4 linked regions of the Arabidopsis thaliana genome follow. The protein of the gene in region 3 binds, or shares a complex with, the protein of the main gene of each other region. Each region holds a gene or a part of one and is shown on either strand. Other genes may lie near its edges.

Region 1 (7,118 bases), on a different chromosome or scaffold from region 3:
GCACTTTCTCCACACCGGAAATGGCGGCGCGTGCACATGACGCAGCTGCTCTCACCATTAAAGGAACTTCCGCCGTCCTCAACTTCCCGGAGCTCGCCACTTACCTTCCCCGTCCAGCTTCCTCCTCTCCACGCGACGTTCAAGCCGCAGCCGCCGTAGCGGCCGCCATGGACTTCTCCCCCTCCTCCTCCTCTCTCGTAGTCTCCGATCCAACCACCGTCATCGCCCCAGCTGAGACGCAGTTGTCTTCCTCGAGCTATTCAACGTGTACGTCATCGTCGTTGTCACCGTCAAGCGAAGAAGCTGCGTCGACGGCGGAAGAACTAAGCGAGATAGTGGAGTTACCGAGTCTAGAGACGAGTTACGATGAGTCATTGAGCGAGTTTGTGTACGTTGACTCGGCGTATCCACCTAGTTCGCCTTGGTATATTAATAATTGTTATAGCTTTTATTACCACAGCGACGAAAATGGCATTTCGATGGCTGAACCTTTCGACTCTTCCAATTTTGGCCCCCTTTTTCCTTAGTTTTATTTTTAAATAATCTCTTCTTTTAAAAACATTTAGCCTCCAAACCTCTGAAGTTTATTTAATTATTGGATTCAGACCAGAGTTTAATATACTTGATTAAACCTGATAGTACCATATAATGTTTATTGCTCTCTTTTTTTTGATCGGATCTTCTAGATATTTTGTACGAACACGCCAATTGTGATTGGACGATAAATGGTTTTTTGTTTATATTTTGCTAATTAACTTATATAGTTTAGGTGACCATTTTTTATACTTTAGGTGAACATTTGAGAATTAAACTATTTATATCAAAGTAGCGGTAGATAAAAGTATTATCTGAGATGGTTTGTTAGTTGACATATATTGAATCTTTTCAACTTGGTATTTATTATCACCCTCTGTATTTAATTCACAAAATTTCTACTGTTAGCTTCATATAACCAACTTTTTCAATTTAAATTATTGTTTACAGTGAATGAGAAATACAAGTACAATGCAATATTTAGGAAATACACTTTTGAGAAGAAAAATAGAAACTCATTTTCTTTCCCTAATTAAAAACAATTTGTACCAGAGAAGTAAAAGATTATCGTTCTACCAAAACGAATTTGCAGGTTAAGGATTATTTATCATTTCCTCTTGTTTGACTTTGTTTGCATTAGTCAGACATAATTAATGGCTTGACCCTTAATTTAACATGTCCATGCACTAACTCATATGCAAATCCAACGATGTGAAATTTAAAACCTTTTTTTTATTCATTTTTAATCTTTGTAAAACGAACTTATATTATGTTTGAACAAATATTTTTTCATACGCAATCCTTAGATGGGGAAATTAATACCTTTGTAACAAAAAAAAAAAAAAAATGTTAAATCAACTAAGTATTGGGTGAGTCTTCTCAACGAAAACATCAATCAACACCGGCCTCATAAGTTGATTAAATTAACACATTTATTATAATCATCGTACATTGATTTGAATCAAAATTAATTGTTACGTTAATTAGTAATGCATCTAACTATCCCGTAGGAAAAGGCCATTATATTGGGATCCGCGGTCAACGGAGGTTCCACCCACGAGCACGGTCTTTATTTGTTTTTTCCTTTCTCAAATATATATACGGATGTATGATTTTTTGCTTTTGGGGTTAAACAAATATGAATTACTGTGCTTAGATCAGAAATAGACACTTTTATACAAATGATTATATGATTACTGTTCATAGCATAAGCTCCTATGAAAACAAATAATAATCGCAACAGCCGTTTAACCTAATCGAATGCTGAAAAGCCCTCAAAATAGTTCATCTAATCCATGAATCGATTTAACAGAAAAAGTTGAAAATTGTATGCATATGATATACTCAAGTATATTCCGAGTTTTGAGTTGTGTAATGCAAGGAGTCAAGGACCATAGTTTGTCGTTGAACACAACCACGCCAAGTTGTCCACCAAAACTGGAAACTAACTACCATGCCGTTGTTTCCATAGAAGCAAAACCATTAACCTTCCCATTATCCCGCATGGCCACATATATGTTTAATAATATTTCTCACCATACATTTAAGTCTCTCTCGTAGTCGTTATTTACATAGCCTACGTAGTTCATTCATATCATTTTTGTTTCTTTACCTTATATCAAACAAATTGGTTGTTGATTAGAAAAACATAAATTGGTTCATTAAATATCAAACTAACGCCATCAATCTATTGTTTTTTTATAAAAAAATGAAAGAGAAGAAAGTTTGTTGATATGAAACTTACACTTGCTTTGAGTTTTGATAGACAAACCAAAGCCTAACTAGTATTTCCTCTATTGGTACTTGAATTCTGAACTTTTTCACCTTCCCTTTCGAGGTGGTTTAACAGTATACCAGTTGAGATGTACCAACACCAAATTCTTATACTTTTTTTTCTTTTAACCTTGAATTCAGTATTTTAAACGAAACTATGGGAATGTGTTTGAGACGGATTTTCATTAAGGACAATGCAAATAATTATGAGATGCTCAGAATTGTTGTATATATCAAAAAGCCAACACCTATAGTTATATATATAACTTTCTTCGATTTAAAAACAATAAGTCGCTTTGGCCGAGTGGTTAAGGCGTGTGCCTGCTAAGTACATGGGCTCTGCCCGCGAGAGTTCGAATCTCTCAGGCGACGTTATCCTTTTCGTTTTTTCGTCTATTTTTAAACCGACTTACATAGACACTGCGTATAAGACAATTGATTCCTTTTTTTTGTTGTTAATCCTATCAACCCTAGAAAAGGCTTCACGCCCGATTTCTTTTTTCCCCAGAAAAAGGCTTCACTTCCGTTCGTTGTTCTTCATCGGTCTGCGCCGCCTCGCACATCGTTTCACCTTTCTCAGAATCTCTCTTCCCGTCGATTAGTTTCCTCAGAGGTTAGCTTCTTCGATTTCTCAGATTCAATTCTGCTTTTTGCTTTCCTCCTGTTGTTTTTAGGTTTTTGTCGATCTCTATGTTCAGCGATTCCTAAACCCTACTTGTTTTCCGCTCTATTGTAGTGAATCCAACCCAGATTTTTCAGATTTTAATCGGAATTATTCGGGATCTAATGCTCGCGTCGAGTTTATCGCTAGAAAACCCTAATTTCGGAGGATCTGTCACTTTTATTATCAGAAGCTTGTTGTTGTAATTACGGATTAGGTATGTCCTGATCGTTATTGTTCTTTGTTTGCAGGTTGCGATTTGTTGAAAACCTTGATTTAGACTATGAAGTCTCTTAATGATCTTCCTGCGCCCAAATCAACCACTACCACGTATTATGATCATTCTAATGATGCTTGGTTCAAAAACCGAGTCACTGAATCCGAGACGGTGAAATCCTCCAGTATCAAATTTAAAGTGGTGCCTGCTTACCTGAATCGTCAAGGTTTACGTCCGAAGAATCCAGAGGATTTTGGCGATGGTGGTGCTTTCCCGGAGATTCATCTTCCTCAGTATCCTCTTCTTATGGGTAAGAATAAATCCAATAAGCCTGGAGCTAAGACTCTCCCTGTTACTGTCGATGCTCAGGGAAACGTGGTCTTTGACGCTATAGTGAGGCAGAATGAGAACTCGAGGAAGATTGTTTATTCTCAGCATAAGGATATTATTCCAAAGTTTCTGAAAAACGAGGGAGACTTGGGTACTGTTGTTGATGAAGAGGAGGAATTGCAGAAGGAGATTCAGGAGACTGCTGAAGAAACGAAAGCTGCCATTGAGAAGATTGTGAATGTGAGACTGAGTGCAGCGCAGCCTAGTAATATAGCAAGGCAATCGGGAGATTCACAGTACATTAAATATAAGCCATCCCAGCAATCTTCTGCCTTCAATTCTGGTGCTAAAGAGAGGATCATTAGGATGGTGGAGATGCCTGTAGATCCACTTGATCCACCAAAGTTCAAGCACAAGAGAGTCCCAAGGGCTTCTGGTTCTCCGCCTGTTCCGGTCATGCATTCACCGCCCAGGCCTGTTACCGTCAAGGACCAGCAAGACTGGAAAATCCCTCCTTGTATCTCCAATTGGAAGAATCCGAAAGGTTACACAATCCCTCTTGACAAACGTCTAGCTGCTGATGGAAGGGGCCTACAAGACGTTCAGATCAATGATAACTTTGCCAAGTTATCAGAGGCCCTCTATGTAGCTGAGCAGAAAGCTAGAGAGGCTGTTTCAATGCGTTCCAAGGTGCAAAAAGAGATGGTGATGAAGGACAAGGAAAGGAAAGAGCAGGAATTGAGGGCTCTTGCCCAAAAAGCTCGCTCCGAAAGAACCGGTGCTGCTATGAGTATGCCTGTCTCATCTGACAGGGGTAGGAGTGAAAGTGTTGACCCAAGAGGTGATTATGACAACTATGACCAGGATAGAGGAAGGGAAAGAGAAAGGGAAGAGCCTCAAGAGACGAGGGAGGAGAGGGAAAAAAGGATTCAGAGAGAAAAGATACGAGAAGAGCGTCGCAGGGAAAGAGAGAGGGAGAGAAGGTTGGATGCCAAAGATGCTGCCATGGGGAAGAAGAGCAAGATCACCAGAGACAGAGACCGTGACATCAGTGAGAAAGTTGCTCTTGGAATGGCATCTACTGGAGGAAAAGGTGGTGGTGAAGTTATGTATGATCAACGTCTGTTTAACCAAGACAAAGGAATGGACTCTGGTTTCGCTGCTGATGACCAATACAACTTATACGACAAAGGCTTGTTCACTGCACAACCAACTCTTTCGACTTTGTACAAGCCAAAGAAGGATAACGATGAAGAAATGTATGGAAACGCTGATGAGCAGCTCGATAAGATCAAGAATACTGAGAGGTTTAAGCCTGACAAAGCTTTCACAGGGGCTTCAGAGAGGGTGGGTAGTAAGAGAGACCGACCTGTTGAGTTTGAGAAGGAAGAGGAACAAGATCCTTTCGGTCTTGAGAAGTGGGTTTCTGATTTAAAGAAGGGTAAGAAACCTTTGGACAAGATCGGGTCTGGTGGAACTATGAGAGCAAGTGGCGGTGGTGGTAGCTCTTCAAGGGACGATGACCACGGCGGTTCTGGTCGAACCAAGATCAATTTCGAACGCAGTGACCGGCGTTAAAAGTCAAGACAAAGAAAAAGCTCAGTAACTGATCTTTGATTTCAATATATAACTTGTTATTTTGGATCTGTTAAAACAGTTTGCTTTGGATTATCAGTATTTATGTTGTTGTGAGTCTCTTAAACTACTCGAATACAATCTTTCAGCTTCATAATATCAGATCTTTTGAGCTTATTTTAGTTTCTTTTTCACTGTTACAACTTTGTGTACTTAAGAATCTTAGTTTTGAATCAGGACAACAACAAAAAAGACACATGTTCTTCTCTGGTCTTATCTCCAAGCTTCATGTTCATGGTACTAAGAGAACAAATCACTTCACGATCTTTCACCGTTTGAATCATTTCGTCACTACATCATCTTCCTCGGTTACGCCTCTTTCGCCTCAAGATCGAAACAAACTCTTAGCTACTCTGTTATCAAACTGCACTAGCCTAGCTCGTGTTCGTCGGATCCATGGTGACATCTTCCGTTCACGAATCCTCGATCAATATCCGATCGCTTTCTTATGGAACAACATCATGCGATCTTACATTCGCCATGAGTCTCCTCTCGATGCAATTCAAGTATATCTCGGTATGGTGAGATCGACTGTTTTACCCGATCGATATTCTCTTCCGATTGTAATCAAAGCAGCCGTTCAAATTCATGATTTTACGTTGGGAAAGGAGCTTCATTCCGTCGCCGTTAGGTTAGGGTTCGTCGGAGATGAGTTCTGCGAGAGTGGGTTCATTACATTGTATTGTAAAGCAGGGGAATTTGAGAACGCACGTAAGGTGTTCGATGAAAATCCTGAGAGAAAGCTGGGGTCTTGGAACGCCATTATCGGAGGGTTGAATCACGCTGGTCGAGCTAACGAGGCGGTGGAAATGTTTGTGGATATGAAAAGGAGTGGACTTGAGCCTGATGATTTCACTATGGTTAGTGTGACTGCTTCTTGTGGAGGATTAGGTGACTTGAGCTTGGCTTTTCAGTTGCATAAATGCGTTCTACAAGCTAAGACCGAAGAGAAGTCTGATATCATGATGCTGAATTCGCTCATTGATATGTATGGAAAATGTGGGCGTATGGATTTAGCGAGTCACATATTCGAGGAAATGCGACAGAGAAACGTTGTCTCTTGGAGTTCTATGATCGTGGGTTACGCAGCTAACGGGAATACATTAGAGGCTTTAGAATGCTTTCGTCAGATGAGAGAATTCGGTGTCAGACCAAACAAGATCACGTTCGTTGGAGTTCTCAGTGCTTGCGTCCATGGAGGTCTTGTGGAGGAAGGAAAAACATATTTTGCGATGATGAAGTCAGAGTTCGAGCTAGAACCGGGATTATCGCATTACGGATGCATAGTTGATCTATTGAGCCGTGACGGGCAGCTTAAGGAGGCAAAGAAAGTTGTTGAGGAGATGCCGATGAAGCCTAACGTGATGGTTTGGGGTTGTTTGATGGGAGGGTGTGAGAAGTTTGGGGATGTTGAGATGGCTGAGTGGGTGGCTCCATACATGGTTGAGCTTGAGCCGTGGAACGATGGTGTTTATGTTGTCTTGGCTAATGTGTATGCACTCAGAGGGATGTGGAAAGATGTTGAGAGAGTTAGGAAGTTGATGAAGACGAAGAAGGTTGCTAAGATTCCTGCCTATAGCTATGCTTCAACGACATTTTGAAACTTGTTTCTCTACATGTTCGAAAAATGTAACATCATAACAAAGAAGATCAAGATAATTTTTCTAATTAGATCCTTAATCCTTCTATTTTATTCACTCACTGAGAAACAACACCTGACATTGCAGTTTTAGATTTAGTAAATTAAGTACTCAGATATCGTGTTGGCAATTTTGCTAGTCATTTCCGACATCAAGATCATGTCGAGAGGAGTTTAAAACTCGATTTCAACTAATTGAAGGCTTCCGGTTTAATGTGTTCAATTTCCGGTTTACTGATTTCATTTTGGAAAACAACAAGGCGGGACCCAGGAATTGTTTTGACAGCGGGTAGGACCCAATTTCAAAGCAAAAATTATGTAAACAAAAA
Region 2 (7,507 bases), on a different chromosome or scaffold from region 3:
CCCAAGAAAAAATACATACAATAACGGAAAAATGTGGATGGATTTGCCCAACTCCTCACCTACTCGTAACTTACAATTTATATACATACGAAAATATAAACAAAAGCTATGTACATGTAAATATGAAAAGCTACAAAACCCAGAACAACTCAAAGTTAGATACTTAGAGATCACCAAACTAATTGACAAGTTTCTCCCTCATTCTCCCATCCAAATATCCTATAAAGTCGATCAAAATTGTTCTGTGGGTAAGACCTTTAGACACATTACCTGAGGCCAAAACATTAACCAGACAATAATTCACGTGATGTCTGGTTTGTTCGGTATATTATCTCCGGCCAAACGGGTCAATGGCGATGGCCTCCCTCTGTTTTACAATATCCACAAGTCAGTGGAGCTTCAGAGATGTCACAGAGACACTGCGCGGGTGTCTGTCACACTTGCAGAACTTCTCATGAGTGTGGAAGATGAGGGGGATGACCAGAGTCGGGCTATGGATATTGCGGTTGCGTCCAATTTCTGGTCCTCGGTTCCGTCTTCTCGTGTGCCTTCTTCTTCTCCGTTTGTTCTTTCCTTCAAAGACTTGACTTACAGCGTGAAGATCAAGAAGAAGTTTAAGCCCTTTCCTTGTTGTGGGAATTCACCTTTTGATGGTAATGATATGGAGATGAATACTAAGGTGCTCCTGAATGGTATTTCTGGTGAAGCCCGGGAAGGAGAGATGATGGCTGTTCTTGGAGCGAGCGGGTCAGGGAAATCAACGCTTATCGATGCATTAGCCAATCGGATTTCAAAAGAGAGCCTACGCGGTGATATTACTTTAAATGGGGAAGTTCTTGAATCTAGCCTGCATAAAGTCATATCAGCTTATGTGATGCAAGATGATCTTCTCTTCCCGATGCTCACCGTGGAAGAGACGTTGATGTTTTCTGCTGAGTTCAGGCTTCCAAGCTCGCTTTCTAAGAAGAAAAAGAAGGCACGGGTTCAAGCTCTGATTGATCAGCTCGGCCTGAGGAACGCAGCAAAAACCGTGATCGGTGATGAGGGACACAGAGGTGTGTCTGGAGGAGAAAGGAGAAGGGTCTCAATTGGAACCGATATAATCCATGACCCGATTATTCTCTTTCTCGATGAGCCAACTTCTGGTCTTGACTCTACCAGTGCATACATGGTTGTCAAAGTGCTTCAGAGAATCGCACAAAGCGGCAGCATAGTTATCATGTCCATCCATCAGCCGAGTTACAGAATCTTGGGATTACTCGATAAGTTAATCTTCCTATCTAGGGGAAACACCGTTTACAGCGGCTCCCCGACACACCTCCCTCAGTTCTTCTCAGAATTCGGTCACCCAATTCCTGAAAACGAGAACAAGCCGGAGTTTGCACTCGATCTTATCCGTGAGCTGGAAGATTCGCCAGAAGGAACGAAATCCTTAGTCGAGTTCCACAAGCAATGGCGAGCAAAGCAAACCTCAAGCCAGAGCAGAAGAAACACCAATGTATCTCTCAAAGATGCAATCAGCGCAAGTATCTCGAGAGGTAAGCTTGTCTCCGGAGCAACAAACCTAAGATCATCATTTCAAACCTTTGCAAACCCATTCTGGACTGAAATGCTCGTAATTGGTAAACGATCTATACTAAACTCAAGAAGACAACCAGAGCTATTCGGAATCCGCCTAGGAGCTGTACTAGTCACCGGAATGATCCTAGCCACAATATTCTGGAAACTAGACAATTCACCAAGAGGTATACAAGAACGCTTAGGGTTCTTCGCATTCGCAATGTCCACAACATTCTACACATGTGCAGAAGCAATACCAGTCTTTCTACAGGAACGTTACATATTCATGAGAGAAACAGCTTACAACGCTTACCGGCGATCATCATACGTCCTCGCTCACACAATAATCTCCATCCCTGCTCTCATAATCTTATCCGCCGCATTCGCCGCCTCAACATTCTCGGCCGTAGGACTCGCCGGAGGCTCCGAGGGATTCCTCTTCTTCTTCTTCACAATCCTCACCGCGTTTTGGGCCGGAAGTTCCTTCGTGACGTTCTTATCCGGCGTAGTCTCACACGTGATGATCGGATTCACGGTGGTTGTAGCAATCCTCGCTTATTTCCTCCTCTTCTCCGGATTCTTCATCTCTAGAGATCGAATCCCACTCTACTGGATCTGGTTCCATTACCTCTCCCTAGTGAAATACCCTTACGAAGGTGTTCTACAGAACGAATTCGAAGATCCGACGAAATGCTTCGTCAGAGGGATCCAGATGTTCGACAATTCGCCGCTGGGACAAGTTCCAACCGCCGTGAAAATCAGCCTCCTGAAGAGCATGAGCGGCGTTTTGGGGATCAACGTGACGGCGGAGACTTGCGTAACGACGGGAATCGATATACTGAAACAGCAAGGAATCACGGAGATAAGCAAATGGAATTGCTTGTGGATCACTGTAGCTTGGGGATTCTTCTTTAGGGTTCTCTTCTACTTCACACTCTTGATCGGAAGCAAGAACAAGCGTCGCTGATTTACAAAACAGAAAATTATTAGAGTAACTTGACCAATGATTATGATGTACTTAATACTTATGATTAATACGAAATTGCATATGTTTGCTAAATCTTTAATGGGCTTTAGAGTTGATATAAGGCCCAATAAAAGTACTAAATTGGAAAGTGTGCAATTTTCTATTTTCTATATCGGTAATATCGACGTTTATCTCGCCGTGAAATCTAAACCGTTGATTGAAACAAATCGCTACCGTTGAATCTCGTCGGTTTCCAAGTTATAAGATAGGGGTTGAAGACTAATCGCAGTATCATCCGCGGTTCACTTCCTTCGTTTCGAAATTATTAGGGTTACTGCGTATTTGCACTCTCCTTCTTCGTCTCTCCAGGTACGAGGAAGAATCTTTGTAATTGGATCTGTTTAGGGTTACGATTTTATTGTTCTTCGCTCTCTAGATTAGGGATTTCAATTGGTTTCTCGTTTCCTCGCCGTAGATTTCCTTTATAGGTTTCCTTCTGTCTAATCTGATTAGAGATTTATATTCTCCCCTCACGAAATTTTCTTCTTTTCGCCTCTGAATGTGTTATTCAGTTTGGTTTCTTTGTTTTTGGATTTGTGTTCTGCTGAAAAATCATAGATATTCACATGGGTTCTATGTTTAGGTCTGAGGTAGTGTTTTAACTCTCTGGTCTTTTTCTTGTTTATATAATTTGAAGAGGATACTGTTATTCTTTTTCTTGTGATTGGCATATATATATATATATATACATATGTGCCTAATAGCTTATGTTAAAAATATTTTGCAGCTTGACAATGCCTCGCTATGATGATCGCTATGGAAACACTCGCCTCTATGTTGGTCGCTTATCATCTAGAACTCGTACCAGAGACCTTGAGCGTCTCTTTAGCAGATACGGAAGGTAAAGAGTCATATTCCTTTGTCTTGACTGACCTAATTTGACTTTTGTATTCTTGGGGAGATAAGTGTTTGGATTTTTTGTTAATTGTTCTTTGGTGTGAATCTGGAATGATTCCTCTTTGATGTTGTGCAGGGGATATATACCTAAAGTTTAACATTAGAATCAAAGAGGGTAGTTTTTACTTATAACGTTGCATTGGTACATGTGGGAAAATTGTGGAGCTAGGTTTAGTGGATTTTTTTTTCTTTAACTTGAATGATCTTGTTGAAGGTTTCTGGGGGTTTGCCTAACCTGGAGATGTTTGATGAATGGGTGGACTGTGGTGTAATTGGTGGAAATTCTCGTCTGGTGTATAGAGGGTGCATCGGCGATTTTGTTTGTTGATTTATTGCATGTTTTTATTGGAAATGGCCTCAAATCTCAAAAACTGGTGTTTGGAAGTTCCTTAAGTAATGATGGCCTTGATTTTCTGGCAACAATTTACGCAGAGTACGAGATGTGGATATGAAGCGTGATTATGCCTTTGTTGTAAGTCTTATATTACCCTTTTCCTTTATTCAAGCGTTTGATTCTCAAGTTTGTCATGCGCACAAACTTTATATATATGTTATGCATCTATCATTGTCCCTCACATTTTGAGAACAGGAATTTAGTGATCCTCGTGATGCTGATGACGCAAGATATTACTTGGATGGACGGGATTTCGATGGAAGTCGCATCACTGTGGAGGCATCAAGAGGGGTTAGTTATTTGTGTCTGTATTACCGATTCTCCATTGGCTTGATAATTTGGATGAAAAATTACTGATATCTTGCCAAACTTTTGAATTTATGATAGGCTCCTCGTGGTTCGCGGGACAATGGTAGCAGAGGCCCACCTCCTGGTTCTGGTCGCTGTTTTAATTGTGGTGTCGATGGCCACTGGGCCCGAGACTGCACAGCAGGAGACTGGAAGAATAAATGTTACCGCTGTGGTGAAAGAGGACACATTGAGAGAAACTGCAAAAACAGTCCTAGTCCAAAGAAGGCCAGGTACTAAATCTTTGAATCTTTGTTTTTCCACAGTTTGTTCTATTCTTTAAGCTTCTTCTCATATCTCTTTTGGATTATAATTCTCCAGGCAGGGTGGAAGCTATTCCAGGTCACCAGTCAAATCCCGCTCCCCTCGTCGCCGAAGGAGCCCAAGCCGTAGCCGTAGTTACAGTCGAGGTCGCAGCTACAGGTCAGTTGTGAATTTGGACTTCTCGAAAATTGTCTTATAAATGCAAATACGGAATACAATAGGAGAGCCACCAAAAAACTTACCTAGAAATTCATATTTTGAGCTTCATATGTGGGGTAAAAAGCTTAGAGCAATTCTGAGCTTTTTCTGGAACTATATTAGTTTGATCTTTAAGCATGTCCCGTAGACAACTATTTTCCCTTAATATTGTAGAAATGATTCGTACTTTGTAGCTATTAAGTATGTTGACAACGCTAATTCCATGGCTTATGCCCTTTGGTTGACTCTTTATTTCTCTGTTCATCAGTCGATCGCGATCCCCAGTGAGAAGAGAGAAAAGCGTGGAGGACAGATCACGCAGTCCTAAGGCAATGGAGCGATCTGTATCTCCCAAAGGTAGGGACCAAAGCCTGAGTCCAGACCGAAAAGTGATAGATGCAAGCCCAAAGCGTGGATCAGACTATGATGGTAGCCCAAAAGAGAATGGTAATGGCAGGAACTCTGCGAGTCCCATTGTTGGAGGTGGTGAAAGTCCTGTTGGACTTAATGGTCAAGACAGGAGCCCGATTGATGATGAGGCTGAGCTTAGCCGTCCTTCCCCTAAAGGCAGTGAGTCACCTTGATGGTTCACAGGTTAAAAGCTCTATGTAGCATTCTGTACTGAAGGATGTTGTTTCCTTTCCCTTTCTTTCTGCGTGATACTTTTCTTTTCGTTGCGTGACAATCCTGGATGTTACTTTGCCTTCTCTCTTGATGACTCTTGGTTTGTTTTCCGACAACTTTCAAACTCTGCGATGTTACTTTTCATTGTTTAGTAAGAATCATGCATTTATGAAATTCTCGCTTGTGGATCGTTTAGTAAAGAATAAAGCACCTCGTAATGTCTTTTTTGGCAAAAAAAAAATTTGGTAAGTAAAGGAAAAAGGATTTAACTATCGCAGTCTGGGTTTCTTTTAGCCTCTTTAATTGTTAAACAGTTATGACAAAAGAAATAACAACATTGACTTTTCTTTGGATGAAGCAACTGCTTGTATGTATCATTGTACCCCTTTCCTCTCTATGTCCGACAAAAACAAAAATGCTTGTGAGGAGGATCAAGACGTTTTGTATGTATGTACATAAACTTTGAATTACTGTGGCACATTAAACTTGGCTTCATAGGGTATTTTCAAGGCCAAGTTCGTCCTCAATATCGTCACCATCTTCGAACAGCTTGAGAAACCGGGCCTGCTCTTGTTGCCGTTTCTTCTTTCTCCAATACTTGTAACCTACCAAGAGTCCCACCGCAACTACACCTAACAAGAGTACTACAATCAGTACCACAATTCCAGGATGCATTCCGCCCTTTTGTTCTTCCTTCTCGGTGCCTGATTCTTTATTCGAACCTGCCAAAAGAAAAAGAATGCATATGAATATGATAGTCCTAATCACAGAGAACAGATTCAAACTGAAGCTACAGCCAACAGAGATACATGTGAAAGAGATTCCGTTTATAGTTGAAACAGTATTCATGGCAAAACAGTAATAAATGACCCTAAAGCTCAAGATGTGTTGCTTGGTAAAACTCACCAGCTCCAACTTGTGAGCATCCATGGCAGAGAAAAGTAGCATTAAATTCTTTCTCTTTGAAGCGCTTGTAACTACCCTCTGCTGTGAAATCAGAAGGGCAAAGCTCCCATTCGTCAAATGTATCATATTTAAGAGGGTCGTCCTCATAGATTCCACATCTCTTGCATTTTGTTCCTTGAAGTTCGGTTAGTGGCTGAAAAAAAATCAAAAACAGAACAGAACATAGAGGTCAAAGACAGTGATAATAAATTGATGATCACCTTCAACATAAGACAACCTATTTGTTTGCACGTTAAGTAGATTTCACAGATGAAGAACCCCTCTACCATTTCGAAACTAAGATCTAAATTCTGGAGCAGATTCAGCAACCAAAACCATATCCCTAACACATTCCCAAAAAAATAAGTCAATCGCTAAGAACCAGAGTAAAGGCAGCTCTTTTTTTCCTGGTTTCAGATCAAAACCAAACCAAACCAAATTTCTAAATTCATGCTAGAGCTTTGAAATTCAACAACATAATCAAAACCAAATCATCTGAGCTACATTTCGGGAAACAAAAGACAAACCTGCCAAGATTCTTCGCCATTGAAAGAGTAAGAAACATTGGTTCTCTTCACATCAGGCAACACCGTCTTGTTCTCTCCTTTGCATTGGAAAAAGACTGTAGGCTTAGTCGAGAACCAATCGTGAGTCGTGAAAATCTGAACCGAATCTAATGTAACTTCTTGTGTTAGTATTGTTCCTGTTAGGGATCAAAACAATGAATCCTCGTCAATGATCATCTATTATTGCACGAGCAACAAAACACTTTCCCAATTCGAAAATGAAACTAAAATCACTCATCCTCAGAATTCTGTGATATTTACCTGGTAACGAGCTGAAGAAGATGAAACAGAGTAGGAAACCGCGAAAATCCCAAGAAGCTGACGGAATTTGGATTGACATCGCGATTCTCTCTCGAATCGCTCGATTGAATCCGATCAATGTATAATTAGGGATTTCGATTGACAGGAGAAGCTAAGTTGAAAACGATGCAGATCAGGAGGTGCTGTTGGATCTCGTCGAGCTTTTGGCTATGGAGTTGGAGAAATGCGTATTGATTCGTATACGAGGAGGAAGAAAGGAACAAACCGATCCTCTTGTGTTGACCGCTTTGGTTTTCTTATTTATATTCTCTAATTTATACTATGTCAACTATTCGAAAGATTTTATTTAATTTGCCAAACAGAAGTAATATTAAAATTTTAAACAAAAAGTAGTATATTTTGAATTTTTATACATAAATACAT
Region 3 (8,266 bases):
TATAGAGACATCAGTGTTACAGAAAATTAAAAACATTACATATAATGTAGACTATATAGTATAGTATTACTTATGTGATTCCCGTAATTTTCGTTTGAACTTTGGAATCTTTTTAATTAAATTTAGAGCTATTGATACAAAATAAGCAAACAACTACGCAAGATGATTAACATTTTGCAACCTTAGGATTTGCAAATTCTCTGAAAGATGTTGCAACTCAAATACTTACCTGATCAGAAACCTATCAAAATCATTGTTGAAAATTTGTCACTCTTATCTTTCGTGCAAGTCAAAATTAGGGGAAGCCAAGTCAAATTGAGTTCCAACGAGATCAAGATTCCACTATACGCGAAACCATCTTCGTACCAAGAAACAGAGTTTAGCTATACCAACAGAACCAGCTTGACCCTTTAGTTGCAAGTAGAAGGATATGTAAAAACAACATAAAACTGAAAGAAACTTGAATTCATCATGAAGCACAAGTGTGTAGAACAAAGCAGTGAACTATATGAACCTGAAAATTGTTGACTATGGAATTCTAGAGATTCCAACAACAAACCGTCAAGCTTTTACAAGCTAATTTATGAGGAAAGAAAAATGCAGGAGCAGCTTATAAATAAACCTGCATACTAGATCATAGTTTTCAACAAGTCTTCAAGCAACAAAATAAGATGTTCAATCGAAATGCTCTTGAGCTATTAAGCAGCAGCAGCCTCTTTTGCAGAAGATGGAAAAGCATCGGTTTTTGAATACAGCCCGAGTTCCTCCTCGAGTTTCTTCCACGCATTCAAGAAACTCGGAGGGAATTTCTTCTTCACCGTTCTAATCAACCCTTTAGCGTCATCTCTTTTCTTGTTCTCCACCAATCCCACAACCAAATGCTTCAAAGTGTTGAAATCTGGAATCTTGTGCATATACACACTCTTCTTGAAGATCGCATAGCCTTGCTCGTACAATCGGCTATAACAAAGATGAAATATCAATGTCCTAAAAGTAGCTGCGTTGGGAGCACAGTTGTTACCTTCAAGTCCTTCATACACTTTCTTAGCTTCGTCCAACATTCCTCTCTCACAATACGCAGTCATAAGATAGTTATAGCTAATCGTATCAGGTTTCAATCCCATACTACTCATTTCTTCAATCAACTCCTTAACTCTTTCAGGGCTTTCCTTTTGAGCACTCATTATACGAACATTATACGCTGCATTATCCAATTCACAGCCTTTCTTCACCATCTCATTCCACAAGTTATCAGCTACCTCGAGCTCACCTTTCTTATACAATGAACTCAAAATGGTGGTGAAAGCAATGGTAGTAACTTCCATGCCTTTACCTTGCATCTGTCTCATAATCTCAATGGCTTTTTCAGGGGTACCAGAGTCACAGTATGACTTAATCAATATACCGTAAGAGATTTTGTCAGGGATGATCTTATTGTACCTCTGAGGAATTTCGTCGAACAGTTGGGGGACTTTATCGAAATTCTTGGAATGGAGACAAGCGTTGAGCAAGGCGTTGAAGGAAACAGCTGATCTGGGTGTGCCGTATTGATCCATCTGCTCGAAGGTTCTCATGGCGTGATTAAACATAGAGGCTTGGCCGTAAGATCTGATAAGCGTAGAGTAGAAAGGTTCTTCTTTGATTTTGGGATCATTTTTGTGGGATTCAATTAGGGTTTCGATGTCTGAGAAACGGCGACACTTGGCGAGGCGACGAACAGTGAGCTCTTGGGCGTAGCGAGATGAAACAGGAGAGGCTGAGTGATCGGAGACATTGGCGTAGATCTTAAGAGCTTTGTCGGGATCGTGTTCTTTCCGGAGAGTGGACTTAGCTTTGGAGACAGAGATTTTGCCTGAAGAGGGAGCGGTGGTCGTACCGTCAGCGGCGGCTGAGGCAAATCGGCGAACAAGGCGGAGAGAAATACGAGAAGAAGCCATTTTGCAGAAATGGGTATTGTGGAGAGTGGTGGCGAGAAAAGGAGACGCCTTTAGGGTTTTAGTGGCTTAACAGAGATTTTTGGGTTTTACAAGTTTGCTTCTTTTTCTTTCTTTTTTCTTCTATCAGAAGAGAACCAAACTACTTGAATATTTCAATAGAGAGAGTACTCAACTTCTTGTGTTGATTTAGAACATATGTCACATTTACGAGAGACGAATGATGTTTTACGAGGGACTCATGATGTTATTCTGTGAATAATTTTTGAGATAAATATTTAAGAAATAGACCAAAGATATGAGATAAAAACGTTATAATAAGCAACGTGTCGATAATCTCATACTCTTACAATCACGCAAAAGGGTCTTGAAACTGAAGCAAAGTACTTAACTTTTAAGTAATAGAAAGCAAACAAAGAAGTGATCAGGCTCCATAATCACCCTGTTCAAACTTGTCTTCAGGGTAATACACTGCAACGACTTCATTTCCTCCAAATTTCCTACCATTCATCCCGAATCTTGCCCTAGTCGAGCCATCTGTATCGGCATACTTCAAAAACACCTGCACATTAAATATATCAGACAGTCAGATTACGACTAAATAGAAATATACAAGAAGTAGAGAGAAAGAGAGAGAGATAAGTTTACCTTGCCAAGGCCTGCCACTGGCTCACCATTGGGGCTTGGACGCGGAATCACAACATTGGTCAAAGCACCTGCATTTTAAGAGTTAAAGAACAAAACATTTCGAATACAAGACAAGAAAACACAGACAAAAACAAGTCAGTTTTTTCTTTTAAGAAATAGTGGCCATTGGTGATAAATAGATTAGGAGGTTTATGCAGTCTCCTGTCTGTGTATGTTAGGGCTGATTCTTTATAGCAAAAGGCTGTAAAACAGCACAACCAAGAAAACAGAGAGACAGATCAATATGCTTTTAATCTTATATTTCAAAATAGACCATATTGCGCAATTAAGAGGTCTCTTACCAAACTTTCCGCCTTCCTGTCTCATGTCTTCCATTATATCTCCATACTCCTCATCATCTCTAAGCTCATCCTCAGTAACAACTTGAGTCAGACACACCACAGTGGTTGCCACTGCACCAGGCTGTAACATAACCCTCTGCAAAAGATAAAACCATCAATCAGTCTTTTAATCTTATAAATGGAAATATTCAAGTTAGGTCTCAACACGTTTTGCAAGCTCATTTTGTTTTCTTCCAATATTATTAAGAAGAAAAAAAATTACCTGAAAAGCTATTTGCTGCTGTGCATGCAATAATACGTTCTCTTGTTCAGGCTTTTGTAGCATTGTTCCCTGGTTGGCACGTCTCACTGTAAGAGTCTTATCTCCCATCTTGATACCATTTAGGGCAGCGCACGCGATATCTGTAACAGAAAGATCTTGGTACACACAAAAGGCATATCCTTTAGAGTTCCCTGTTTCTCGATCTTTTACAAGATCAAAGCCCTTGAGGCCTCCAAAGGACTCCAACAACTCCCTCACTTGTGATTCCGTGAAGTAATATGGAAGTCCACCAACAAAAATACGATCTGGTCCCTCAAGCCCACCAGAAGCACCTGGAGTCAGACCAACAGCAGCTAAGTTTAGATGGGGACTGGGCTGGCTTGGACCAAGAGTCGCAGCTAGAGATGGGTTATAGTCACTAGGTCTCCTCACCTTCACCGGAGCTCCCTGGAAAAGAAAAAAAGAAAAAGAAAGATAAGCATTCAGTTGGGTAACCTATATACCAAAGAAATGCCAGTACTAAAACTCAACCAAATATTTGGTAGTGCGGTAAACATTAAAACATACCTCAAATATAATCCCATCCAAAGACATAGCGTTACTTGCCTCTTCAACAGATCGCATCTCCACAAAAGCAAACTTCTTCTCGTGGTTTATGTAGACATTAACAACTGCATCACCTGCGAGTAAGAAAAAAGATTTATAAAAAAAGATTAATCCAAGTATCATAATAGACACTCTAGCATCTGCACCAGGATTATGTACCTGGACCAGCAGTGTTTCCACCAACAGCAGCCATAACTTGACTAAAAAATGTAGCCACAGACTGCAAATACAAAATAATAAATCAATGTTAGTATCATTATTTGCTGAAACATATTTCAGTGGGAGAAAATGAAAAAAGAAAGTGGATAATAACCTGTTCATTTGCCGTAGGGGAAAGCCCACCGACATAGACTCTGCGAGCATGTCTAGTTGCCTGAAGACACAAAGTAAATAAGGATTAAATTAGAACAGAGAAATACATAGTATCTTGCGTATATCCATGATAAATAAAATCTAACCTGCTGTGTCATAGCCTGAATTGGCATCATAGAGAGTCCCCCAAATGACTGTAGGACATAGACGACTTAGTTCAAGAAAGACATCAATTAAGAAAATATTAAAAGGGAAAGACCACAGACCTGTCCAGTCGGCAATGGAAACATGTTGGGAAACATTCCAGCCCCAGGAAGAGTTGGTGGAGCGGGAGGAACTTGGCCTACAAAAGAAAAACAGGTTAATACATAAGAAAATTACATATGAGAAAACCTAGTTTACCATCCCTGGAAATGTATTGGTGACATCAAGAGGTTTAAGTCTGCATGGAAAATTTTTGCAAGACTAACAAAACCAGTGATATGTACTGAGGATGAGCAATACCCATACGCAGTAATTCTTCCTTGTATATAAGAGCTAACCAGCCCACACCCAGTGTTGCCTTACCAAAACAGAAAAGCAAACAAGAGACACAAAGACCACCAAACAACCAAAAGCTCTCAGTTCTAGCGTTATGTCCCAAGTAAAAAAAGAAAGAAAACAGCCTATGTTTTTGTAGTTATTCAGGAGAAACAGATTTTATCAATCCCAGTACGTGTATTAGGTATGAATTCTACATTATGCTAATGAGAAGGTGCTAAATTAAAGAGATATACCTGTAACAGCAGCACCAGCAGCTAACATTGCAGAGGCTGGAGGTGCCATATCGAATCCACTGACTCGCTGCTTACTGCAACAACATATATTGAGTGAGGTTAGAAACTTTCTTAGATTGAAGCAATTACTTCATAGAAGAGTAAGTAATCCAATGAGAAAAAAATGCTACCTTTTCGATGGAGATCGTGACCTTGTTCTGCGCTCAGATCTATCCTTTGAACGAGATCGAGATCGACGACTGCGTCTTCCTCCTCTATCATCTCTCCGCCTAGAAGAATAAAAAATAAGCCAAATCAGTACCTTCCATAAAATCAAAAAGGATTCAATCTAAATTGAAAATGTATAATTCAATTCAAGAACAGTCTACCTATCATGGTCACGATCACGGCTTCGACGGTAATCATCATCATCCCTACCACCACGTTCTCTTCTTTCACCACGCTCCCTGCTATGATCCCTGTGACGACTACTTCTGTGATGACGCTCACGATGATCTCTGTCTTTGTCTCTACTCCTCTCCTTGCTTTTCTCTCCATCTCTATCCCTGCTTCGGCGAGAGACTTCAGAGTCTCTTTCTCTGTCCTTATCACGACCCTTCTCTCTTTCTCTATCTTTACTTCTTGATGTCTCTCTTTCATGGTCACGCGATTCTCTCTGCACATGTAAACACACCCAAAACCTCATCAATTACAGTTTAAGAATCAATGAAACAGAAGCAGCTTTAAAACTAATCATCTCATAATTCGATTCTCAATTCAATCCAATTGCTAGGAAATATAGATTCGAAACTCCAACTATAAGCTAGGAGATTGAAGATAATCAGGGGGGAAATTACCTTGGGTTTCGAGTCCAATTGATCCTCGATTTCGCCGTCGCGGCCACCATTCTCTTCGTCGTAAATCGCGTCAGCAACCGTACCGTTTCCCTCGTGATCTTCGAATTCAGACATCTTTTCGCCGGAATCAACGCTCTCTATCTCTTTCTCACCGGAGATAAATTTAGAATCTGTTTCAGCCGTCGAGATTCGAAGAAAGGGGTGGATGCAGAAACCAAACTATTTTAGGGCAATTACGGATTATTCTATTTTTTTATAGCCAACACGGGACCTCCTGTGAGGGTATTTTTGTAAATGTCATATAAAAACAGGCCGGTCCAAATCTGATAAGGCCCATTATTCAGCGCATCCGGTCCAATAGTTGGCCCAATTCGTGTTTGGGATAAATCTACTTTTTGAGAGTTTTATGAATTTGCCTTTTCAAGATATGGCCCAATCTGTGTTTGAGATAAATTTGCCTTTTATTCCAATATCTCTTGCAACAACAAGAGAACAGAGCATGGGAAGTTGATTGCATTATCTACGACTCCTCCGTTATCACCATTCAAAACTTTAATATGCCGAAGCTATAGCAAGAGGGTTACAAATACATTATACAATTGTAAACCAAATGACATAAGTTAGCAAGTACGACTACTACTACAAGTGTATAATAAACCACAGAGTTATCAATAACAAGAAGTAACGTCGTCACTCAACAGTCTCTCGGAAATATTTACTTATTTCTCATTTACCATCTACAAAGATTTAAACAAAACAAAACATTATACAAACACAATACAACTTTAAACATGGCAACAACAAAAACAATGCAAAAGTACATTAACAAATAAACAAGACTATGGAAAAAAAAAGTTACAAGAGAGGTCAGAACCAAAGTTCTAACCACTAACAACAAACCAAACACACTCTTGACGTACGTTGGCCTTCTCTTTTACTCCTCCGGCTTAACTCTCCTCTTCACCTTCCATTTCCCATTCTTTCTCCATCGGTAGTTGCCGTTCCCTAAGTTCTTCTTCTTGTGGTGGTTGTTGAGGTGGCCACCGCTTCTTCTCTTCTTCTTCTTCACGTTTCCTCCTCTCTTCCTCTTCTCTCTTCGCCTCTTCTTCTTCTTTCTTCCTTTCATCATGTCTCCTCTTCCTCTCATCATCTATTTTCTTCCTCTCTATCTCCACCTTAAGCTTCTCTATCTCTCCTTCCGCACAAGAATGACATTCCAAGATAACAGCTTCCTTCTGAGCTCCCAACAATCCATCAATCGTCACACTACTCACATTAAGCGATGCAGCCAATACTTGCCGGTCAAGCATCCGCAAAGCCGAGTCCTCCCCGGCTAAGAACTGCGGCTCGTTATTCTTAGCTGAAGTAGTAAACCCAACGAACACTAACGAGTCATTGTTGAAAGACATTTGAGCCATTGGATGTAACCGTGGAACTGCGAAAATATCTCCTTCCTCTACTTTAAACCTCACGTTCTTACACTCTGATGATGTGTTTGATGATATCGAAGACCTAAGAACCCTAACCATTCCTGCTCCTTTCAATACAATCGAAATCTCGCAAGCCCATGGATTCCAGTGCGGTCCCATCATCGATCCTTGAGTGAGATTCACCATGGAAACTCCAACCATTGAGCCTTTTAAAACTTTCAGATCCTTCCTGTTAATCGTTATAGTACGACCGTAGGGGCTCTCGAAATCCGGTTCAGATTCGAAAACATTGAATGTCTTCGCTTTCTTCACCTTCTCCTTCTTCTCTTTCTTCTCTTTCTTCTTCTTGTTATCCACCAAGTCTGCACTTCCAGCAAAGAGCTTTAGTAATCGCGGTTGGAGCTGCCAAGTGTTGGCCACACCTGGTGTGCAAAGCGTCTCACTCACGATCAATGGTGGCTTCGTACGGTTCCTCATCAGCTCTATAATCCCCTCAGGAACCTAATTAAAACCATTGAATTTAATATATCACTTAATACAACCCAAAATATCCTCTACTAGAGTAAGTTGGGAAGTAAGATATACACAATTCCTATCTTGCTTCCCAAGTAAGATATAGACAATTCGTAACTTATTCATCGGCAGATTAAGACATACCCCAAAAGCTGACTGGAGAATTGTCTCATCAAAACCAAACATTAGATCTGTGATACTCGAATAGGCACCAAAGCAAGGATCCTGCATCCATGGAATACAGATACAATAAGAAGAAGAAAAAGATGTCAAGAAAGTGAAAAAAGAAAGAATCATATCAAACTTATACATGTAAACACTCATCGTTGTTGGAGAAGATTGCGTAAAGCTTAAGTTTGGTTCCAAGGAAGATATCCACCGGTTTGCTCTGTAAGTAGAAAACCGAACCGGGACGTAGCCTGTAAACGTCTCCTAGTCTGATCTCGGTACTCTTCGCTTCCTCGTCAACCCAATTCAGAATCCCACTTCCTATACAAATCACAATCCAATTTTGACCTAAACCGAAACTGATCTGTAAACCAAACCGAAGAAATTTAAACAGTTTATTATGTACCAGAGTCAACGAAGAAGACCATGTCGGAATGAAG
Region 4 (7,236 bases), on a different chromosome or scaffold from region 3:
AGAAGAAGAAGATCCAAATCGATCCGTTGAAAAGGTACGACGATGTTCGTTCTCTGCTCTCTCAGTCTTTATCTTCCTGTCAGCTTCTCTTAGTTTAGATTCATGGATTTCGATTCCGATTTTTTGGGGGATTGCGTTAGATTGGATTAATTTTAGTTTCTCCATTTCGGATTCTGGTTTAGGAATTTCGAATTTGCTGTGCGATGTCGAGTGCGGTGGACGCTACGGGAAACCCGATCCCTACTTCGGCGGTTTTAACGGCGTCAGCGAAGCATATAGGTATGAGGTGTATGCCGGAGAATGTTGCGTTCCTCAAATGCAAGAAGAATGATCCAAACCCAGAGAAGTGTCTCGACAAAGGTCGTGACGTCACTCGCTGCGTGCTTGGCTTGTACGTATCTTTAGCTCATTATATTTTCCTTCTACTTTGCAAGTTTAGTAGTTTTGGCTTTGGTTTTGGTTAGGAAGCCTCGAGTATCAAATGGTTGATTTAGGATTCTAATCATAGAGTGTAAGCCTGGGATTCAGAAATGAGACCTGAATGAAGAAACGATTGGGTCTCTGGATTTCAAGAAATTAGGAACTGTAGGGACTTTGATCACTTCTTTTGTGCTAAACTAAGTGAGCCAAAGTATCTGACTATAGCTGTGACAATATCGTGGAATCATCTTAGCAATGGGCATGAGACCATAAAAAAAGCACACTTAAGTAGTTATGGAAGTCATAGGTTGAGCTTAGATCAGCCATCAAATCGTTTTTCATTGAGCTCTGGTTTTGTATATGCTTTAGAGTTCAGACTGTATTTCATGGAGGAACTATCTATTACACTCAGACATATTACAATCTTTGTAGAAATTGGGTTGTTTCATATATCCTTGCTCTCAGATGTTGGCCAAGTAGAAACAGTTTCATACCACAACTTCTCATGGTTTTTTCCTCAACTTATAAGCCATTAAGAAGCCATTTGCTTCCCTAAAAATGTTGGTCTAAGACTTAGTTGGATGTGCAGAAGTTGTTTAGTATGATGTAATCCTCTAATAATATCAATATAAGAAGACTTTCAGCATCATCGAGATCGTAGATTAATAATGTTGGGTCCACATGCAGATATTATGTTATTTCTTCGGTAAAGCATTAAATTTGTTGTATGAATTATGCAGGCTGAAGGATCTTCACCAGAAGTGCCAAAAGGAGATGGATGATTATGTTGGGTGTATGTATTACTACACAAACGAGTTTGATCTGTGTAGGAAAGAGCAAGAAGCCTTCGAGAAAGTGTGTCCCTTGAAATGAGAATCACAAGTTCTTGTCATGTTTTGATTTGTATCTCATAATAAAGCAAAATGTTCATTTTTGAATGAGCTTTACTCTCTCCATCTCTTGTTTGTTGTCATCCCATTTATTTCCTCTCAGATGCTTTCGTAGTGAGTTCCAAAGACAACTAAATGACTCAGTTTTATTGTTCGATGGTTCACTAATCAGCACAGAATGGAACAATTGTTTTTATCTGCTTATATTCTACCATACTTGACAGTATACTAGTAATTTTGTGACTAAAAACTGTTAGAGAACCATATCCAACAGCTAGGATGTCTTGCTATGATCTTGTGGTTATGCTTGTGGATATTGGTGAAACATTGAAGGTTTGTTACAAAACAGAGAATGGAACTTAAGTTGGGTTATCTAAAATGAAACAAACAAACAAAACAAAAAGAGCAAAAATATTTATAGTAAAACTTCAGATTCCTCTTATGTTTCACTAAGGAAGTTGCCTACTTCAAAGCCAAAATAGTATTATAGAAAGCCATTCCTTCTTCTTATTTATCAACGACTGCAACAAAACACCATTCATCATCAGTCATCACAGATGTTAATAGAGATAGAGTTGGATGTGAGTGAATCAAACTAAATGTCAATGGCGCTAGCTCTAGTCCTTGATCTAGAGAGGCATTTAGATTAAATAACAATGCAGCTATTTATTTACCTTAAGGATCGAGAACGGGACCTTGACAGACATCGAGACCTGATTGGAGTAAGCACCCTCTCCTCTCTAGGACTTCTACAGTTTCTAGACTTGTATTCCCTCTCATTTCGAGGCAAAGGAGAACGTGAAATAGATCTTGACCTTCTTCGAGGAGAGTACAAATCATCCTCTCTTACTTTACTATGCCTGTGCTTGTGCCAGTGAAAAAGAAGAAGATTAAAACGGCTTTTACATACTGAGACAATTAATTTTGTTCTAAACATACAATACAAGAAGAATGAAAACGTATTACTAATGTTCTTCAAATGGCTTTTGTTCCTTCTCACGCTATAACTGAGAAAAGTTGTTTCTTTATCTAATGACTACCTTCAACACATTTTCTGGAAGATACATTTATAACTTGAAAGATCTCTTCTCTCCAACTTTTCTGGAGCAAAACGCTCCAAAATCTCTCATTTCTCCGAGTTTATGGAACAAAACCTATCTTTAATCTTGTGAAATTTCTCTACTGTCCACAACATTGAATGGCTCTATTTCTCCAAATACCATTCTTTCTTTGGCCACTATAAGTCTATTCATTCATTATTTGACCGGATGACAAAATGGCATACGCAAAACAAAACACAAGTCAAGCTCAATTCAGTACAGATAGTACCTACAAAACTCTCTTGCTAAAGTTATAGATAACTTGTTGACCAAGTGGTATTCAAGCTCTAGCTTACCAAAGCTGGTGAAGATGACATTTGGTGAAATAAGTCTTCAGGTTCAGATTTTAGGAAAAACAGACACCCTAATAAACATTTTTTCTACAAGACTTATCAACCTAGACGTGTCCAATTTGTGCCTTGTCATTGTATTATCCACACACAACTGACAGACAATCTAAGTGACTAGGAACCAGTGCCGTTTGCATTCACATGAGCGAGTTCCAAGAATAAATAAAGAGCCTTATGAAACAGAGAGTCATCATACACTATTATAACAAATGCCTAATAGATATAGATGAGAATCAAACCTTGACTCTCGCCTTGGAGGCGAACGCGAACGTGAATGAGCTGATGACAAGAAAGGACATAGTTAGTAAACATCACAGGGTACATAGGTATTGTTCTAACCATACACTGCAGTTGTCCTGAGACATATCAAAAATGTTAAAAGCAAACCAAAAAGCTACTTACAACGATATCTGCGCCTTGGTGATCTGTGTGAAGTCCTCTTGTAGTCCCCGTGTCGACCACTATATTAAACGAAATAGGATTTGGAAGTAACTAAGATAATTACTTACAAAACATTTACATTCATATAAAAATATGATACAAACACAAGAAAACGGACTCTTCACCTTGTACCGTTAGTAGTACGCATTTCTTGTGGAGTTTTCCGGTTCTCCTCAGCGAAAACAATGGCTATCTCACGCCCACCAATAACTTTGTGATTCATTCGTTTCATTGCCTCAGCTGCATCTTCAGCATAACGATACTTAACAAATCCAAACCCTCTCGGCTCCCTAAACCACAAAATAATATCACATTAAAGTTAAGAGTTCCTACTCAACAAACAACTACTTGAACTGACACCAAAAGTTACCAATCAAATTAGTCAAGAATCCATACACATTGACAATGTGACATTGTTAAGAGAAATAACCAGTAAGCTAAAGCTAAGCTAGGAAATAGCTAAAAGCATCTGATTATAAAAGACAAAGCTTGACATATACCCAGTATAATAATTCCTAGGCAGGTATATGTCCTTGAGTGGACCAAACCGTTCAAACGAATCCCTAAGATCGTTCGGCCTGAAAAACAAGAAAACATTCCAAAACTCGTGTCAATTAATCAACATTAGAGAACTTGTGATGTCCTTGATGGAATCTGAACAGTAGAGAAGGACGGAGAGACCTAGCATCGAGAGGGAGATTACGGATAAGCAAACCAGAAGGACCAGAGGATTCGTGATCACGAGAAGACGGACGTTCGCGGAGGCGATTATCGTCGTAGCCTTTCCGTTCGCGAGGTGGTGACCTGTCACGAGGACGGGGACTATAGCTTCTGCTCCGGCTTCTCGCTCTAGCCATCGAAGATTTCTCTTCCTTAGGTCTTCTTCTCAAACAAATCCAATCTTCGGAGCAATTGAATAGCAAAACCCTAACCCTGTCGGAAAACGAGTTAGAGAGTGAATTTTGGAGGGAGAGAGGAAGAAATCGACGACTGTGAAAGTTTTTCAAAACACAACACTTGCCGGAAGCTGGCTACGGTCTGACTTTGTTTGTTAATTCTTATGGGCTTTCAAATTTGCAAACTATGGGCTTATATAAATCAAAGCTTTAAAGGCTTTGTGTCAAAGTTGTTGACAAAAAAAAAGAAAAAACTCGTACCTTGACTCGTCCGGTTCCAAAAACTCGGTCACCCAAAAATAAAAATCAAAACCCTTCGATAAACCTCCCGGAGGAGAGGAGACACCCGAAATGTTCGCCGTATCACCGTCGTCATTCTCGCCGACAACCATTTCTCCGGTGAGTTACAATTCTTCTTCTCGCCTCAATTTCTTTCCCCATAATCTTCACGTTCTCTCGCTCTTGCCTCTTGTAGCGCCGTAGTGGACAGAGGAACGAACCTCGAAAATTCTCGGTGGTGAGAGCTGGAGCTAAGAGAATACTATACGGTAAAGATAGCAGAGAGAAACTCCAAGCCGGAATCGATAAGTTAGCTGATGCTGTTTCCATCACCTTAGGCCCTAGAGGTTAGTGAATTAGATTTCGATTTTGGCTACGATTTGAAGTTTTTTTCCGGGCAGAATCTGATTATGAGCAAACCAACCCTTCTCTGGGATTTCGAATTGATTTTTTTTCAATGTGGAAACCACGACGCAGGGCGTAATGTAGTGCTTGCTGAAAAAGATACAATCAAAGTGATTAACGATGGTGTCACCATTGCTAAATCTATTGAGCTTCCTGACACTATTGAGAACGCTGGAGCAACATTAATCCAAGAGGTTATTCATATTCATGGTGGCTAAATGATTCCCCTTCTTTTCCCCATTGTTAGTTCATTCTTTGAGCTCTAAATGGTATCAATTAGTTATCTGAACCTTGCGAGTTTCTATCTTGTGTAGGTTGCGATTAAAATGAACGAATCAGCGGGTGACGGGACAACCACTGCAATCATTTTGGCTAGAGAAATGATCAAAGCTGGTTCTTTGGCTATTGCTTTTGGAGCTAATGCTGTTTCTGTGAAGAATGGAATGAATAAGACTGTTAAAGAGTTGGTCAGGGTGTTGCAGATGAAAAGTATTCCTGTTCAAGGGAAGAATGATATTAAAGGTTACTTTATACTTATTACTAAATAATTATGATCCAACTCCTGTCTTAATTTTGAAATAATAGGGATTTTTTGTGTTCTGTAGCTGTGGCTTCAATCTCTGCTGGTAACGATGAATTTGTGGGGAATTTGATTGCTGAGACTGTGGAAAAGATTGGCCCTGATGGTGTCATCTCCATTGAATCATCTTCCACTTCAGAAACGTCTGTTATAGTTGAGGAAGGAATGAAGGTTAGTTTCAAACTTAAGTTGGATGTTTTAAAGGCTTCACAATGGCAGTTTCACACTTACCATTGTTAACATTATCAAACCATTGAGTTTCTGTGATTCATGAGGAAATTTCTTTTGTACAGTTTGACAAGGGCTATATGTCGCCTCATTTCATCACAAATCAGGAGAAATCTACGGTGGAATTCGACAAAGCTAAAATTCTTGTGACGGATCAGAAAATCACTTCAGCCAAAGAATTAGTTCCGTTACTGGAGAAAACCTCACAACTGAGTGTTCCGCTCCTTATAATTGCAGAAGATATCTCTGCGGAAGTGCTTGAGATACTGGTGGTGAACAAGAAGCAAGGTTTGATCAATGTCGCAGTTGTGAAATGTCCAGGAATGTTGGATGGGAAAAAGGCTTTGCTACAAGACATTGCACTCATGACAGGTTTTTCTCAATCATTTGTACTTTCCAAGTAAATTTTTACTGAAAATTTTCAGGTGATAACATGACAAATCATATACACAGGAGCTGATTATCTTTCCGGAGATTTAGGCATGTCGCTCATGGGTGCAACTTCAGATCAGCTGGGTGTTTCTCGTAGAGTAGTAATTACAGCTAATTCAACAACTATAGTCGCAGACGCTTCTACTAAACCAGAGATTCAGGCAAGAATTGCTCAGATGAAGAAGGATCTAGCTGAGACAGATAATTCATATCTTTCAAAAAAAATAGCAGAGAGAATTGCTAAGCTCACAGGAGGCGTGGCTGTAATAAAGGTCCGATTTTACAATAACCCATTCTTTGTTTATAATATGCTGCGACAACTTGGGCTTTCATCAGAACATAATTTCTACCTAAGTAAGAATAAAAAATACTGTTTCAGCTCTTGATATTTCTTTTGAGTCCTATATATCAGCTTAACCCTGTCTCAATATAGGTTGGAGGCCACACTGAAACAGAACTTGAGGACAGAAAACTAAGAATAGAGGACGCGAAGAATGCTACATTTGCAGCCATGAGAGAAGGTATAGTTCCAGGTGGTGGTGCTACTTATATCCATCTTTTAGATGAGATACCGAGAATCAAGAAGAATCTAATGGAAGATTCATACGAACAAATAGGTGCAGATATTGTAGCAATGGTATGAAAACGTAATGACAAAACAAAACATGTTTTCTTAACCATACTGGATTCGTAAAGTAACCTTTTAAGAGTGAAAAATCACTTTAATTTTTTTGTTTGCAGGCACTCACTGCACCTGCAATGGCCATAGCAACCAATGCTGGGGTTGATGGATCAGTTGTGGTGCAGAAAACCAGAGAACTCGAATGGAGAAGTGGTTACAACGCAATGTCTGGAAAGTATGAGGATCTTCTAAACGCTGGAATCGCAGATCCTTGTCGGGTTTCAAGATTCGCCCTTCAAAACGCAGTTTCCGTTGCCGGCATTATTCTCACAACTCAAGCAGTACTCGTGGAGAAGATCAAGCAACCTAAACCTGCTGTTCCTCAAGTTCCTGGCATACCCACATCATAACCAACCACCACCAAAGGTAACAAAGAAGCACAAAAACCAAACTCTCTACTGCAGATTTTGTCAGAATCTAAACCTTTGCTCACAAAGTGGTGTTTAATCTTGTTGTGTTTTAACTAAACATTAGAATCTGTGATGCAATGGTATGTGCAGAGTGAAAGAAAAAAAAGATTGTTGGAATCATTG

The links.
Region 1: ATU2AF65A (region 3) and SKIP share a complex: the UniProt entries of both Arabidopsis thaliana proteins name them as parts of the spliceosome.
Region 2: ATU2AF65A (region 3) and RS2Z32 share a complex: the UniProt entries of both Arabidopsis thaliana proteins name them as parts of the spliceosome.
Region 4: ATU2AF65A (region 3) and SCL28 share a complex: the UniProt entries of both Arabidopsis thaliana proteins name them as parts of the spliceosome.

The regions. Positions count from the first base shown.
Region 1 is NC_003070.9:28,997,766-29,004,883, reverse strand, and holds SKIP (chromatin protein family), read left to right. Parts: upstream 1-2,748; 5' UTR 2,749-2,920; intron 2,921-3,043; exon of another isoform or gene 3,044-3,219; 5' UTR 3,220-3,251; coding exon 3,252-5,093; 3' UTR 5,094-5,307; downstream 5,308-7,118. Other genes in the region: AT1G77200 (Integrase-type DNA-binding superfamily protein), read left to right, coding at 1-527; AT1G77170 (Tetratricopeptide repeat (TPR)-like superfamily protein), read left to right, coding at 5,348-6,751. UniProt on the Arabidopsis thaliana protein: Splicing factor involved in post-transcriptional regulation of circadian clock and flowering time genes. Associates with the pre-mRNA of PRR7, PRR9, ELF3 and GI, and is necessary for the regulation of their alternative splicing and mRNA maturation.
Region 2 is NC_003074.8:19,832,322-19,839,828, reverse strand, and holds RS2Z32 (RNA-binding (RRM/RBD/RNP motifs) family protein with retrovirus zinc finger-like domain-containing protein), read left to right. Parts: upstream 1-2,740; 5' UTR 2,741-2,896; intron 2,897-3,314; 5' UTR 3,315-3,321; coding exon 3,322-3,428; exon of another isoform or gene 3,429-3,916; coding exon 3,917-3,956; intron 3,957-4,073; coding exon 4,074-4,169; intron 4,170-4,265; coding exon 4,266-4,459; intron 4,460-4,547; coding exon 4,548-4,649; intron 4,650-4,956; coding exon 4,957-5,272; 3' UTR 5,273-5,589; downstream 5,590-7,507. Other genes in the region: ABCG20 (ABC-2 type transporter family protein), read left to right, coding at 308-2,527; AT3G53490 (valine-tRNA ligase), read right to left, coding at 5,805-6,034, 6,219-6,411, 6,785-6,960, 7,085-7,163. UniProt on the Arabidopsis thaliana protein: Probably involved in intron recognition and spliceosome assembly.
Region 3 is NC_003075.7:17,291,781-17,300,046, forward strand, and holds ATU2AF65A (U2 snRNP auxilliary factor, large subunit, splicing factor), read right to left. Parts: upstream 5,949-8,266; 5' UTR 5,830-5,948; coding exon 5,716-5,829; intron 5,535-5,715; coding exon 5,248-5,534; intron 5,149-5,247; coding exon 5,050-5,148; intron 4,954-5,049; coding exon 4,880-4,953; intron 4,447-4,879; coding exon 4,370-4,446; intron 4,298-4,369; coding exon 4,250-4,297; intron 4,165-4,249; coding exon 4,105-4,164; intron 4,012-4,104; coding exon 3,951-4,011; intron 3,866-3,950; coding exon 3,753-3,865; intron 3,633-3,752; coding exon 3,186-3,632; intron 3,060-3,185; coding exon 2,924-3,059; coding exon of another isoform or gene 2,651-2,923; coding exon 2,583-2,650; intron 2,497-2,582; coding exon 2,359-2,496; 3' UTR 2,167-2,358; downstream 1-2,166. Other genes in the region: AT4G36680 (Tetratricopeptide repeat (TPR)-like superfamily protein), read right to left, coding at 699-1,937; AT4G36700 (RmlC-like cupins superfamily protein), read right to left, coding at 6,663-7,646, 7,803-7,883, 7,969-8,147, 8,233-8,266. UniProt on the Arabidopsis thaliana protein: Necessary for the splicing of pre-mRNA.
Region 4 is NC_003076.8:6,267,101-6,274,336, forward strand, and holds SCL28 (SC35-like splicing factor 28), read right to left. Parts: upstream 4,226-7,236; 5' UTR 4,059-4,225; coding exon 3,883-4,058; intron 3,780-3,882; coding exon 3,702-3,779; intron 3,492-3,701; coding exon 3,327-3,491; intron 3,222-3,326; coding exon 3,163-3,221; intron 3,040-3,162; coding exon 3,000-3,039; intron 2,171-2,999; coding exon 1,985-2,170; coding exon of another isoform or gene 1,981-1,984; exon of another isoform or gene 1,925-1,980; intron 1,832-1,924; coding exon 1,825-1,831; 3' UTR 1,544-1,824; downstream 1-1,543. Other genes in the region: AT5G18800 (Cox19-like CHCH family protein), read left to right, coding at 204-391, 1,161-1,293; Cpn60alpha2 (TCP-1/cpn60 chaperonin family protein), read left to right, coding at 4,449-4,496, 4,573-4,723, 4,854-4,975, 5,096-5,303, 5,387-5,532, 5,655-5,961, 6,043-6,293, 6,455-6,658 and 1 more. UniProt on the Arabidopsis thaliana protein: Involved in intron recognition and spliceosome assembly. Probably active at the 5' splice sites.